Linked DNA regions of Tamandua tetradactyla. The protein of the gene in region 2 purifies or fractionates together with the protein of the main gene of each other region. This does not show direct contact. Links are inferred from orthologs where the notes say so. Each region holds a gene or a part of one and is shown on either strand. Other genes may lie near its edges.

The links. The genes of interacting proteins can lie anywhere in the genome.
Region 1: the proteins of TIMELESS (region 2) and TIPIN purify together in Homo sapiens (affinity purification with western blotting; 6 studies listed by BioGRID and IntAct, counting the BioPlex papers as one, with this or other methods). This does not show direct contact. The link is inferred for Tamandua tetradactyla from reciprocal best matches to the Homo sapiens genes TIMELESS and TIPIN.

What each region holds. Positions count from the first base shown.
Region 1 is NC_135340.1:83,377,016-83,385,087, forward strand, and holds the start of TIPIN (TIMELESS-interacting protein), read right to left. Parts: upstream 3,156-8,072; 5' UTR 3,002-3,155; exon of another isoform or gene 2,922-3,001; intron 2,859-2,921; exon of another isoform or gene 949-2,858; intron 408-948; 5' UTR 400-407; coding exon 267-399; intron 161-266; coding exon 82-160; intron 1-81.
Region 2 is NC_135333.1:123,518,203-123,525,542, forward strand, and holds the start of TIMELESS (protein timeless homolog), read right to left. Parts: upstream 3,157-7,340; 5' UTR 3,029-3,156; coding exon of another isoform or gene 3,025-3,028; intron 2,796-3,024; exon of another isoform or gene 2,739-2,795; intron 1-2,738. Other genes in the region: MIP (lens fiber major intrinsic protein), read right to left, coding at 4,970-5,155, 5,985-6,065, 6,466-6,630, 7,194-7,340. UniProt on the Homo sapiens protein: Plays an important role in the control of DNA replication, maintenance of replication fork stability, maintenance of genome stability throughout normal DNA replication, DNA repair and in the regulation of the circadian clock.

The DNA.
Region 1 (8,072 bases), on a different chromosome or scaffold from region 2:
CCAACCTGCCCCACCCCCACAAAAAAAGAAATAATGGACATAAGGAAAACTTATAAATCTATAAGAAAATAGTAAAAGTACCTCTGAGCATCCAACTTGGGTAAATTCCTTTTAACAATTCTCTTTGGAGGTATAGGAACAGGTGCTCCTCTCCCTGATTCTGGTGACATACAACAAGATTTAATATTACTTGACAGTTTCACCTTTATTATCTAAGTTGATAGATAAATGAGCATGGAAACTTTTCTGAAAGTCCCTATACAGACCTTCATCAGGTCCAGCACCCTCACCATCTTCTCTCTCTGGAGAGGCTGGAGGTGGAAAAGGAGGAAAAATTTCATCTCCTATAGGATCATAATCTGGTAGGTCAATCAAGCTGTTCTCCTGTGGTTCCAGCATTTTGTTCTCTAGTGGGGGAAAAATAAAGAGTGAAAATATTAGTCATTCACCCATAATACAGTCAAGTTCCATCTGCAACAAAATTCACGTTTCAATCAGTTAAACCACATTTCAAACTCATACATCATGAAAATAAGTGGAGAAGATGATAATTATGGAAAAAGAATCTGAACAGAAATCAAAGTAACTTGAGTTGTAATGTAGACCCTACTGCTAAATAACAATCTGATTTTGAGCAAATCATTTTACCCAACTGCTGGGTTTCCCCTACCACAATATAATGATTTCTAATTTTTCAGAGGGTGTCAAACTCTGATTCAAATAGGTATGAAATAGGGAGATGGGTACCTCACTCCTACCACAAGGAGGGCAGCTTTTAAAAAAAAAATCTGTTTATATATTGTTTAAGGTAATGTTTCCTTTGGAGAAAGGGAAATTATCCTCAGCTTGGTAACTCAAAAGAATGTTTTTCTATATCATCTTTCTTGACCTCTCAGCAACTTTTAACTCTTTTCTTGAAAAATGTATCTCTTGACATATAGTACTTACCTGGTTCTCCTCCCTTTCTGGACACGCCTCTTGGATCTCTTCTGCAGGTTCATCTTTCTCTAACTTGGCCGCTAAATATCCAAGACTCAAACCTAGGCCCTTTTTGCTCATTTATGTATATGGCTTTAATCATTTACTTATAGACAGCTCACTGATTTTCATCTTCACCCTTGGCCTCAATTCTGAGCTCCAGATCCCTACTTCCCACTTTAGCCCTTCAGTGTTTCAAAGGCATCTATACCTCCTCATGTGCGAACTGAACTTTTAAACTTTCCCTACTCAGTGAATGACATCTATCTAAGCAGAAACCTAGGTGTCATCCTTGACACTTCTCCACAGCCCACATACATCATTCATTTTATTTCCTAAATATCCCTGAAATCTGTCCATTTTTCCCTACCTCCACCACCACTTCTCATCATTTCTTGCTGGGAGTAATCCACTATTCCCGTCTACTTCTGCCTCTATATTTCAGCTGGACTGAATCTTTGGAAATGTAAATCTAAAGACATTACAACAAGGCTACTGTTTTTAGGATAAAAATAAAACTCCTGCATTGTCTGGCCCCTTCCTTCCTCTCTAGTCTCAGCTCACACCACTCTCCAACACTTTTTCCTCTATCCTTGTTGACCTTCTTTCAGTTCCTTGACTATTGCCTGATCCACTGGATTTTTGCAAATGTTGTTTTCTGTCTTGAACGCTCTTTCCTGACTCCTAATTTCAGATCTCAGACCCCAACTGCCATCTCCTCAGAAAAGCCTATCCAAATTTTCCTAAATTAAATCCTCCTATAAGCATTCATAGTATCAAATACCTCTTTTTCATAGTACTCATCCAGTTTCAATATTGTTTTATTTGTGTAATTATCTGATTAGTATTTGTCTCCCATACTAGACTGCACCTCTAAGGGGCAAAGACCAAGTAGGTCTGTTAGCGCCTCATTACTGCTACACGCAGGTGTTAATATCTGTTGAATGAAGAAATGAAAGAAAAGAACTCCAAAGTTCAACCAAAACTGTAAAACCATTGGAACTAACAAGCTCTAAAGTCGTTCTAAGTTTCTATGGCCATAAACTCATAAAAACATAAAGTATCAATTCCTGATGATGACCCACTATCAAGAAAGATAAAAGAACCACAGATTTTCAAAACTGGAAAGGCAGGGAGAGTGCACATAATCTCAAACAGCTTCCCATCTATAACAAATATATTTAGCCCCATTCTAGTAAAGTCCTCTGGGAAATAGGGTCAGACCTCTGAGGCTGAAGGAGAATTTGACTTTGAGGACAGGGTACAAACAATATAAACTGTGGCAAGATCACTTAATATCGAACTGAAGCATAGAGCTGGGTTGCCAGTAAATTGATTTTTCTCTTCATATTTGGAGTAAGATACCTATATATTTCACTTCTTGACCAGGCATACTAGTTTTAGACACTGATATAATCGCCTAGACCTCAAACTCCCAGAAGAGTGAAAGTAACAAAAGAAATCCAGTATACAAACCACAATTCATTCGCACACATTTCTGCTTCGCATTGTCCAAGTCTTTTCCCAAGGCGTCAAAACAGAAGCCCCTTGTCGCCAAGGAAGTCCTAACAGGCTGCTTCCATGTTCCCTCCTGCTATCTCCCCAAAAAGCCTCCCATCCCCGCTCTCCTCTGCGCCAACCTTCTCTCCTCCCATCCTCGCTCCCGTCTGTTCTCACTTCATTGATTCAACATTCAGAGGCTGCTTTCTACGTTCAGAAGCCCCTGCACAGAAACTCGGGATACAAAGACGTGGCAGAAAGGCTCCCTACAGCTAAAAGGTTCCGTTTACTGACAGGCCAGAAACACACAACGAATCTGCCGTCATGCCAGTTGCTTCCTAGCCCCATAGGAAGAGGCCGGTCAGGTCGCCTCTCCTCTCCAGTCCCTGTCGGGCCGCCTCAGTCCAGTCCTCCAGCTTCCTCAACCCCTTCCTGCGACTCACCAGCTCTTCTGCACCTACGCCTGGCTCCCAAGGCCGCCTCTTCCCTCAAGAGCTTCACTCGCCGGCCAGCCCGATCTCACCTCACGCATGCTACAGGAACCACTGCCTGGCGCTTGCCTTAGGTGGCAGCAAACCGCGCCTCTCGCGACACCCGAGCTTCCTGCCACGAGCAGCACCCTGGGCGTTTGGCGCCAAATCTACGGAGGGCGGCAGGGCGGAGCCCACCGGAAGCGCTCGTCCTCCCGCCTTCCCCAGATCCGGCCGGTCCTTGTTGGTCCCCACATTTCTGGGGTCCCTCCCGAAACTGACTCCCGTTTCACTATCGGTTCCGCGCTCATGAATTTCTCACCGGAATTAAGCCTCCTTATTTACGTAAAGTTCATATTTGTTACGCTCTAGGTAATTAGACTCTGAAGTAGGTTTCGGTTTTTGAGAAAATTGGATTGTGAATAGAGTGAAAAAGATAAAAGGCAAACAGTATTTGATGAGAAACTACCAATTCTTCAAAGTTAATAGCAGCAATGCTTTCAGCACAATAGTTTTATTAATTGCTTATTGAATAAGGAGCCGAGGAAAGAGCTGGGAGAGAATTAGAGACTAGGAGTGTAGACACAAAGAAGAAAGTCAAAATGTTACCTTTTTGTTAAGAAAAAAGCAAATCCAAGTATATTCACATTTGCTTGTGTACACAGACGCTTACAAACACCAAAAAAAAAAAAAACTGGCGACACAAAAATCAATATATAACTAATATTTGTAGTGTGGAAACTGAAAGTATGGGATGAGGTAAGTTGGGGACTTAATTTTTCTTCTTTTTTTTTTTTTACATTGGCAGGCACCGGGAATTGAATCTGGGCCTGCGGCATGCCAGTGAGAATTCCACCACTGAGCCACTGTCCACCGCCCTCTATTTATTTTTGAATATGTAAATTTTAACTATTCAGAAAACTAAATTTGGGCGGGCAACTGTGGCTCAGTGACAGAATTCTCGCCTTCCATGCGGGAGACCCGGTTCGATTTCGGAGTCTGCCCATGCCAAAAAAAAAACCAAAACCAAAAACTATTTTTTAAAATGTGTCTTCCTGGGGTGTGATGATGGCTTAGTGGCAGAGTTCTCGCCTGCTATGTCGGTGATCTGGGTTCAATTCCTGGTGCCTGCTCATGCAAAAAATAAATAATATGTTACCTTCAGCAAATACTGAAAGCATCATTAAGATATGACAAATCTCTATACTTCTATGAAGCTTGAGATATTTAAAATTTGAAGAGATGAATCAAATTGTAAAAACAATATGGTATGTAAAATTGCAAATTCCATCTGCCTAAAATTATGTATGTGAATATGTATATGTACCACATTTTTCTTAATTTTTATGGTTTTATTTTATGTATGCAAGATAACATAAAGACAATTAACAATTAACATTAATTTGAACTAGAAATATGTCAACTTGAATAGTCTGAATAACTGAGACAGATAATATTATCCAGATAATAGCATATACTCTCCACTTTGTAATACCTAAAAGGTAAATGTAAAAGCACTTTGAAAAATTGTATCCCATCCTGTGCTGATTTGAAGCTATTATGTACCAAAAAAAAGCCATGTCCTTTAATCTTCATTCAATGTTGCTGGGTGGAATCTTTTTTATTGTTTCCATGGAGATATGACCCACGTGGTAACTTTTTTTGGTGGGGGGAGGGTAACTTTGGTTAGACGGTTTCCATGGAGATGCATCTCCACCAATTCAAAGTGGGGTAGCTTACTCCAGCCCTTTAAGAAGGAACCATTTTGGAAAAAGCTTTAGAGCCACGGGAGTCAACAGAGCCCACACAGCCAGAGGCGGTTGGAGATGAAGAAAGAAAACGCCCCTGGGGAAGCCATTGGAAAAGCCTGGAGAGATATCCAGCAGACATGGCCATGTGTCTTTCCTGTTGAGAGAGAAACCCTGAACATCTCGGCCTTCTTGAACCAGGGTATCCTTTCCTGAATGCCTTTATTTGGACACTCTTTTAGCCTTACTGTAATTTTGACATTTTCATGATCTTAGAACTGTAAACTTGCAACTTACTAATTCCCCCTTTTAAAAGCCATTCCATTTCTGGTATATTGCATTCCAGCAGTTCTTGCAAACTAAAACACACACCACACTCCCCAGCCCCCCCAAAACAAAAGAACAACAGAGGGAAGCTCTGAGGGTTTGAATCTGAGTTCCATTTATCAGTGTCTTTGTGATTCACTAAGTTGTTAAGGGTACCTACATAGACTTGTTAGAATTCAATGATACTATTTAATAAATATTAGCTGTTATTATCCATATAATTATTAGAATATTTGATCCTTTTAGAAAATGTTAAAATTTTAATAAGTAATTCTGTTTGGGCCCAGGCTAGGGTTTATGAATAGTGAATTTGTTAGTATTAATTTCAACTGCGAGTAACAGAAAGAATGAAAATCAACTAAAATAATGATAAACAAGTTTACATGAAGTCTGGAGGTGGCTAAGTCCGGTGTTAGAATGGTGTTCTATCCCCTGACTTCTTGCTTTACCAGCAAGCATTCTACATGGATGTTTCATTCTCAAGTCCTCATCATGGTCCGAGGTGGCTTCTAGAACTCCAGCCTCTTTCCAGTCAGCAGGAAGTAGGAAGGAGAGAAAAAAGCATGTTCCCATATTTTAAGAACATTTCCCAGAAGTTGCATATAACGGTTCTACTACATCCCATTATCCAGAATGTGATTACATGTCCACACCTAGCTGCAAGAGAGTCTGGGAATGTAGTCTTAGTGGCCACGTGCCCAGTTAAAATTCAGGCTTGCAACTACTTGGAAGTAGGAGAGAAGAAATGGTGACAGACAACTGGCCTACTCTGCCACAAATAGCAAACTAGAAAAAAATTTAACTTCCATATTAATTTTGCCAATTTACAATTTTGGAGTGTTTCCAAAAAAATATTAAGAATGTACTTTCACAAGACTGCACATGAGCAATTCGCAACACAGGAAGACTCAAGTAAACTGTACATTGTCTTATACCTTTGGGAATCTTTCCCAGAATCCATCCTCAAACCAGAATGTCAGGTCCAATAATAACTAAAAGCATGACCATGATCAAACTACTTTATGCTCTGAGTCTGTTTGCACTTTTGTAATACAAAAGGTGTTGAATTAGATGATCCGAAAGGTACTGTTTTAATGGTGGATACGAAAGACTAGAACAATAAATCAACAGGTGTTTATGACTGTTATGTAATATAGGTATAAACTAGGGTCCTTGTTCTTAATAAACTTACAATCAAATATGTAAGATATCAAAGAGATCGTCTTTGATCACCCTTTCTATTTTGAGGGGCTCCCCTTACATTATGAGTTCATCCCTGCTTAGGATAGAAATGAAAAACTCATCCTCCCTTTGTCCCTTGTGATTGGGTGTGTACTGAGTATCCTATTTCCACACCTGGATGAGATTTCAGGTCAAAGGAGAGAGATGTGAAGATGGAGGCACTGCTTGGAATCCATCCTGGCTAGAAATTAGCCAGCTTCCAAGGGCAGCAAGGCTAGAGGTACTAGAGGCCATGTGTCAGGGATAAGTCCCATTGGTGGCACCAGTACGGGCACCACTGAAGCAGTAGATCAGCGTAATTTTGGCATTAGTCGATATAGATGTCAAGCCTTGTTTTCTGCCCACTCAGCTATACTAGGGAGCCATCTGTATTCTTTAATAAATTTATTTTGCATTTAAACTAGTAATGTCATTCACAACCAAGAACTATAATGGTTATCAACTGATTATAAGCAATATAATTAAATGCTGATTTCCTTGGAATCCACAGGTTGGTAAATGCTAGAAAGCTGTTCAGGGAAAGAAAGAAATGAGAGATGGGGTAGTAAGAGAAGACTTTGGAATTACATAGACCTTGAGCTGAATCTTGGAATTAGGTAGGATTTAGATAGATGGATAGGAAGGTGTGATGAGAGCAGGGAAATAGCAGTAGCATAAAGGAATTATTAAGTTTAATAAGGAGACTGACCTAATTGACTCTGATGGTGGTGTTGGGAAGAGTAAAAACTAAGGTTGAGATAGTTATTTTGAACAGAAAGGTCTCATCACAGATTCTTCTCTTTTTCATACCTCCCAAATTTTAAAATATTATTTTACATAATATTTGATACATAACAAAAAATACATGTAATATTTATGAATGTTGAAAGCATGATAATGTGATCTACTCTTGTGTGCATGCCATCCAACTCGAAAACTAGCCAATATTTTGCATTTACCTGTGTTTACACCTTCTCCCTTCTCCCTGGACCCCCCACCCTCATGAGACCACCACTATCCTGAATTATCATTCCTTTCCTTTTAAATATAGTCTTGGTATATATGTATGGCCTAAACCATACAAACAGTTGTTTGTTTTTGAGCCTCATAAAAATTGTTTGACTTGCTTTTCTCACTCAACTTTTTGATCTGTGATTCTTCCAAGCTGTTTCATACAACTGTAGTTGAGAGACTTTTCACTGCTGTACACTATTCTATTACAGCATATATCATACTTTGTTTAGTCATTCTCTTATCAGTGAGCTTTGGAATGTTTCCAGTTTTTTTGCAACTATGAATAGTTCTGCTATTGAGCATTCTTATCTTCACATTCTTATATATGTAACACGTGTGTGTGTATGTATGTTTGTGTGTGTGTGAGTTAATCAAAGGGGCAAAGGCATTGAAAGCATGGAGGGAATGAGATCCAGGTCACAGCTGAAGGGACTAGCTTTCCATGGGAGGGTGGAGCATTTCTCTCCACTCTAATATGAAGGGTATTTGTGGTAGGGATTTAAGAATCAGAGAAGATGACTTTGTCATTCCAGGTTTGAAGTTTTCCCAGCAAAGTGCAATGAAAACAAAAAGGGACAAGAGAGTTGAAGTATTTACAGGAAGCAATGGACCTTAACATCTAAACTGTATGGGACAATGACAGGAGGAGACTTGAAAGTGGAGGCTTAAATGAATTTGAGCTCTTGATGGGGCCTAGGGTTTGCTTCCAGGAAAGCGCTTGAGCAAGTAAGCTGGAACAATAGCAGGTTGTGATCAAAGGGTGGAGTGTTTAAATTTACAATATTGGAGGTGGTGTCATTTCTGGGTCACCAAT
Region 2 (7,340 bases):
GTAACAAACGTACACTAATGCAAGGTGTTAACAATACAGTGGTATTTATATATGAGAACTCAGTATTTTCTGTGTTTATGCATAAAAAAATGCATATGACATATAACAGATGTGTAGTCTCCAACCTTGGCCGAGCCCTCAGCCTGATCTAGAAATCCTTTTTAGTTTTCCTGTTAGCTTTCTCTTTTCCAAGAAACAGCTGTTTCTAACCTTCACCACTATCCTTAAGCCCCTTTATTCCACTGTATCCCACACCTCTCAACTGGTGTTTCTGCTTCCTTCCTCTTAGTAGCAATCAAAGTTATCAGGCATGAACTCTCAAATCCATGAACTCTCAAATCCTCGTCACCCTGGCCTAAAAAACATACATTATATCTCAAATACCCACCCTCCGCTCTATGCTTCTAATCTAAACCCTCCATTTGTGATTTTGTTCAATCACTTTCCATCCCTTAGGTGGTTGTTCCTCAATTATTTCCAACCTTCCCTTTATACTGTTCCATCTACATACATTGGGAATTGGGGGGGGGGGGGTGAACAGAATAAAGCAAACCTGCCCCCGTGACTGTTCCTCCTCTCCACCTTAAATGCTGATGTTCAATAGGCCTGCATGTTCAGTCTTCATCGTATCTCATTATACTGATTCCTGGGCAAACTTATCCATTCCCATACTTTCAACTACCACCTGTCTCTGGCTCCTGTGAGCTCGTCCAGTACCAATACCACATGTTAAACTGATTAATGGAGAGCATTCTCCCTCTTCATATCTCAAAAATGCCTCACACTCAACATGTCCAAAACCGAATTCTTCATCTTTTTTGTTTTTGGACCTCTCAGGGACTGGCACTATTATCTACTCAGTCTTTCAAGTTAGAAGAAACCTTAGAGTCATCCTAGATGCCTTCATCAACTTAACTCCTAACACTGAATGGATCACTGATTCTGGCTAATTTCTGCCTCCTTAAACTATCCTACCCAGCTGCTATCCATCACCATTGCTACTGCCTTGTTCAAGTCCTGAATGGCTCTTTTTTTTTAAGTATACAATTCAATTAATTTTATTATGTTTACAGTATTGTACAACCATCATCACAATCTAATATTCAAAACCTCAAGGCCATTTACAGTCACACCTCATTCCTATGCCTGCCATAGGCAATCACTATCCAACTTGGGTCCTGAATATCTCTTGCTTAATTACTCAACTGCTTTCTTAACCTCTTTTCCTGCTTCCAGTCTTGTTCCTTTAAATCTAACTTCCACATGGTTACCAAATTTGGCCATACAATCACCCTGCTTAAAACCCTTCAAATGGGAGGCCACAGTAGGGGAAATATTTATCTTTCAGTTTGGTACTATTTAAATTGTTTACCATTACATACATCATAATTTAAGTCAAAACAACAGCCATAAGACTGAAACTTCAGCGGTTTTCAATGCCTACAATATAAAATCATTAGCATGATCTGCCTGCTGATCACCTCTGAAGTCTTCTCTCTCAAGATACTCCTCTGTCCAGAATGCCCTTCTCCCAATTCATCTTTTAAGACTGCCAAATGATTCTTTCTCCGGACTTCTCCATACAAAAGCAATCACTTTCTCCTTTGTGTCTACTTTGTGCCATATATAGACTTCTGTCCAGGCACCCGCATTTCATGTTGTACATATAATAGGTAAAACAGATTCTGCTTAAAATGTCTGCCACCTTCCATTAGCCTTAGATTCCCTGTGGCAGGAATTGTTCCTTTTTCATCTTTGAATTTTCAGAGCATAGATACTGAATCAAAAGATACAGGGGGTGAGACTTGGGGAAGAGTGTTTTGAAAATGTTCCTCAGGTAATTTTAACTCGATCTTATCTTAATAACATCACTAAAATGTAAACTCCTTGAGAGCAGGAATCATCATGACCAACACATAGGAGGTGCTCCATACTTATCAAACTGAACTGAAACAGACATGTCTTGACCTGAGGGTGGAGAGGATGAAGCTGGAGATTTGAAGGAATTAGGATATAAAATGGAGTGTGAAGTTGTGAAAGGAGATAATCTTACCCACAAGCGTGTGGGGTATGGAAGCCAGGGCAAACTTTTCATCACCCAGTAACCGCAAAGATCCTTAAAGCCTGACACTGTTTATTCATTTCTGTACCGCTGGCACTGGGCACAGTGCACAGCACAGTAGTAGGGACAGCACGAAAGAGCCCAAGGCAGATGGCATCCTTTCCATGTGGCTGGTGAGTCCCGTACATGAGAAAGGAAAATATTTAGGGAGGTTTAGAAAATAAGGCTGAAATGAGAGGCTCAGGGTCAAACTGTTTTGAAAGGCCCTGTATGCCCACTTAAGGATTTAAGCCTGACTATGGGTGACCAAGGAGGAAATTTTAATTTAATCTGAAATCATCAGATTGATCTTTTTATAAAGATAACTGGTGGCAGCATGAAGGGCATGACATAAAGAACTGAAACTCAAGGGAAGAAACTTCATTAGTGAATGATGGTCTAGGCAACAAACCCAGGCAAAGGCCGTGTCCTCCTTTAAGCCTGCTGTCCAAAGGAAAGGAGGAAAATGTGAGGAAGAAATAAGGAGTCCGTTTTGTCAAAACCAAAGATGTAAGTTAAATGACTTAAATTCCAACCCGATGACCACCAAGCCGCAGACCTGTTGTTTCGGGTGAACGGAACGGGGTGTTTCAAAGTTTAAGTCTCCGGAACCATCTATTCTTTTTTCCCATCGCAGCCCTAAGCCCGCGCGAGGACCAACTGAGCAGAGCGAGGACAGGGCGGTCCCCTTGACGCGGGAAGGAATGCACCGATTAGAGTGCCCAGCGCGGATTCGGAACGCAGCGGCTTCGGGGCGAAGAACGCAGCGCGCGAAACTGCGCGTGCGCGCCAAGAGCGCCCGCCCCGCTCCCTGCCTTTAAGCAGAGAGGCGGGACAGGGACTCGGTGCCTCACAGAAGTGTCCCCGCAGCTTCAAAGGGACCCGACCGTGTCCGATTAGAGCCCTCCTACCCACACACTCACTCATTCGCTCCCCGCGGGTCCTCGGGATGCTCGTAGAGGCAGCAGCCCAGAGGCGCTGGGCCGCAGCGTTTCCCGCCACTAGACTCGGCTCGACCAGTCCCCGCCAGTCTGAGGAGAGGGGCGTGGCTTGGCGGGCTGGTCCACGTGATACGAGTGGGCAGGGGGGTTGGTGATGGAGTAAGAAAATGGAAAGAGAGCGCAAGTTCTGTTTTATCTGTGACGATCCCCTCCATTGCGTTAAAAAGCACACTGCTATGAACTTTCTGCTGATTTAACATAAGAGGAATAAAAGTCTGATTAGGAGTAAAGTTACAAATAGTTTTCCCCTTCTCCTAGACAAGTAGACTATTCCAAAGTTTTGATTGGTTACTTAGAAAAGTTAGGCTTTATTTGGGAGGAGGTGGAAAGCAGAGGTCCGGAAAAGAGAGGGTTTGTTCTTTATGTTTTCTGTTGTATTTTGTTTGTTTGAATCTGTCATATTGTAGGAACAGGCTTAGAGTTTGCGACGTGTGCAGTTGGCTCATAAAAGTAAGAGATCAACACTAAATGTTCATTGGTCAATTGAGTCTCCTCTGGCCTCTGCTGAGATGAGTGTATTTTGCTTACCACAAAAAAGGATAGGGCTCAAACGAATAATTACCTCTTGAATTATTAAGCATCTAAATAGATGGAGTCTATTTCTGGGATGTGTGAGAGAGGCGGTTTGCTGCGAAATGAAAGGGCAGATGAGAAAAATGAAAAAGATACCCACAAAAGGAACATAAAGGGAACTATAGAATTAGTGATAAAAGCAGAAAGATGTCTTTTTTTTGTTTGTTTTTTTGCATGGTCAGGCACCGGGAATCGAATCCGGGTCTCCGGCATGGCAGGCGATGCAGTGACTGAGTTAAAACCCTGAGGGTCAAAGCATGCATCTTCCCCAACCTCCACCGTTTTCCTCCCGGCATCCCAATTCCTGTTTTGACCTTAGAAAGCTCTTATGGGGCTTAAGTACTGTCTGTCAGGAGACCATTCTGGGGGAAAGGGAGATGTCAGGCAGAGCAGCTAAACTTTATTTTTCTAAATTCTGGTCTCATCCGCTCCTATTTTTTTAATTGGGAACTTGCTGGCCCACACCAGAATGAACACACAAGCCAGCCGGTGGACGTAGACAGGTTTATGAGGCTTTACAGAACAGCTCAAATCCCAGTATCCCAGTGCTCTTTTTTCTCAAAGCTACTTCCCCACCCGAGTCCCTGGGGCAAGCCATCCCTGAGATAAATAAGCTATACTTTCCCATGAATTTCCCCAAAACTTTGTGGTGCAATTACATCCTGGTCTGGGGTTTATACCTCCATTTCCTATCCCCTCTCCGTCTCGTCTCCCACCGCTACCACCATTCCTACAACCACAAGCATCTTAGCCTCATTCCAGAGAAATGTTGAGCCCCTTCTCATTCCAGAGAAATACTGGAATGCCTTGTTTCCCCACTTCTTTCCATCTGCCTCCTGTGAGGAGTAACACCTTTTTTCTCTCTTAGAAACCAAAAAGCACACACTTGACTAATAGCAGACTATAGGCCCGAAACTTGAAGTCTTGGTTCCCTGTGTTCACCACACTGAGTGGAGGAGGAAGGCATAGGATGATATCACTTTTCCCTTCCCTAGCTTTCATGCCCCAAAACTCAGACACAGCCACACTCACCCACATTCATACCCACAATCATGCACACACGGCGAAGGGAGGTGAGATGGGGAAGGAGAAAGGAAAGTTTGCACCAACCAGCTCATGAATGCAACTTGAAAAATTTCACACGGCAAAAGGGGAAAAAACACACACATCCACATGTAAATTTAAAAATAAAGAAGTACATGTCTGTCCCCACAGTCTTTCTTCATCTAGGGGCTGAATCAGCCTCTGCATTTAAACCTAGAAGCTTCCTACTCCTTGTATCCAGCTGGAGCTTTTACAGGGCCTGGGTCTTCAGTTCAACAGGTTCCCCTGTGCCCTCTTGTTGTCCATTGGGGTCACTGGGTCTGGCACCTTTGAGGATAGAGAGTCTCTCAGAAACATTCTTGAGTCGGGGGAAGAGGAGAAAGTCATAGATGAGGCTGCCCAGGGCCCCTCCAATGATTGGGCCCACCCAGAACACCTGCAGGAAAAGGAAAGGAATACTCAGATTTGGGGAGGGGATTAAGAAGAAGGCTGCTTTTTTTCCCAACCCTCTCAGTGGAAAACAGGCATCCTGGACTTGGTGTATAAAACTGGGTACTATTTAAGCAGAAATCAGTGAGTGTTCGTTTGTTCTTTAACTCCTAGGCTGTGCTCCATTGCCTGTATCTCAAAACTCACATTTATTTTTTCATTCATCAAATCATTCCTTTGTCCCACATTTTCTTAACACACATATATTCAATTTGTTGTTATCTATTTACACAGTTTAAATGTTCTTTTGAAAAAAATTGAATTATTTTCAAATGTTTGGTTTGTCTATAGCCAACAACTTAATCATAGCTAATATTTATTGAGGACCCTACTCCATACCAGATTCTATGCTAAATGTTTCCCACATGTAACTTTCACATTTCTCATGACAGCCATCCTATAGTTAAAGAAACCAAGGTTTAGGATGATTGCATTACTTGCCCAAGGTTACACCCAGGCTAGTAAAGTGCTAGACAGAGGTTTCTATCTTCATATTCAGTTCTCTGGCTTTATAGCCCCTAATTTTGGTATCCACTGGTACTCAGTAAAATCTTCTGACTATAAGAAAAAGAACAGTATGAGCAAGAGCCTCTCTTCCCAGCAAAATGATGAATCCTGCTCACATAGGCATGCCAAACTCTCTGACAGTCCCCTTGGCTGAGGTGCCAAGTAGAACAGCCAATATGTCCAGATAGAAAGCTGGAAACAAACCTGGAACCTGCAGCCCACACCCATTCAGAAGAGATTCAGGATTTTGCCCCTCTCCTTTAACTCACCCAGTGGTTGGTGAAATTTCGGGTGAGAATGGCAGGAGCAAAGGAGCGGGCAGGGTTCATGCCTGCACCGGTATAGTATATCTGTAAAAGACACAGTTGTAACTGAAACACCCTCTCCATTTCATCCCATCTCTTCTCTCCACAACCCAGTTTGCCCCCGAGATCTGGTACCTTGTCTCCAGTCAGCAACAAGTAGGGAAGCACAACTTGCACGTCTCTTTAAAGGTCCCCATAATGGGTAAGGGCACTGATGTGCTTGCTATCTGGGAAGAGGCTATGAGCTCAAGACAAAGCCCATATTTCCCTGTGATTCAGGCATTTCCACCTTAGGGTCCAGAAGGACTTGATATGGCAGTCATAAGGGAGAGGAATAAGGCAGGGAGATGCAGAGTAAAGTGGATGGGAAGAACCTTGAAAAGTTGGGGAAGGTTTGGGGGCCCTGGAATCCCTGAATGAGAAGTTGTTTGCCTCCTCTGCTTACCCCAAAGAGGTGCCCCAGGGTGAGGGAGAAGCCAACAGCCAGGGCCACAGAGCCCAGGCGGCCATTCCGCCTCTCGTCATATGTGGCAAAGATGCAGAGCACAAACTGGAGTGTCAGGAAGATCTCCACCATGGTAGCCTGGCCCACACTCACCCCAGGGTGCAACTGGCCAAAGAAAGAAGACGGAAGGCACCTATTAGGCTGTCACCGTGTTACCTCCTCAAGGCTTCCCAGGCAAGGATCCCCTTATGGCATCAGTTCCCTGGAAAGGAATGATAATACAACCCCCTTCATAATAATTATATTTGTTTCTTAATTTGTCCTAACAATACTCCTTCAAGGTAGAAATAATTTCACTCGCACTGATGGGGAAACTGAGGTCCCTAAGATAAAAAAAATTTCCTCAAGACCCAGCAAGGAGATGGGAGGAAACCTGGGACCTGAATTCAGTTTCCTTGATTCTCAGTTGGGAGTTCTATGCCTTCCTTACCCCTCCATATCACTGGCTAATCTTCCCCACCCTGAAACAGGCACATGCAAACACACACACACACACACACACACACACACACACACACACACACACACACACACACACACACACACACACACACACACACACACACACACACACACACACACGTCCCAGAACCCAGGGAACTGATCCACCCGCACCAGTCAGGGATTCAGAATACTAGGTGTCACAGCCCCTCTCAGCCAAACATTACCGTGTTAAGTGCTAAATTTCCTCGGACGGCAGGCGGGGTAACACTATACAGCACGGCAGCCCCAGCCACTGCTCCCAGGAGCTGGGCTGCCATATAGCAGAAGGCACGAAGCAGGGACATCTGGGAACCCACGAGGAAGGCAAAAGT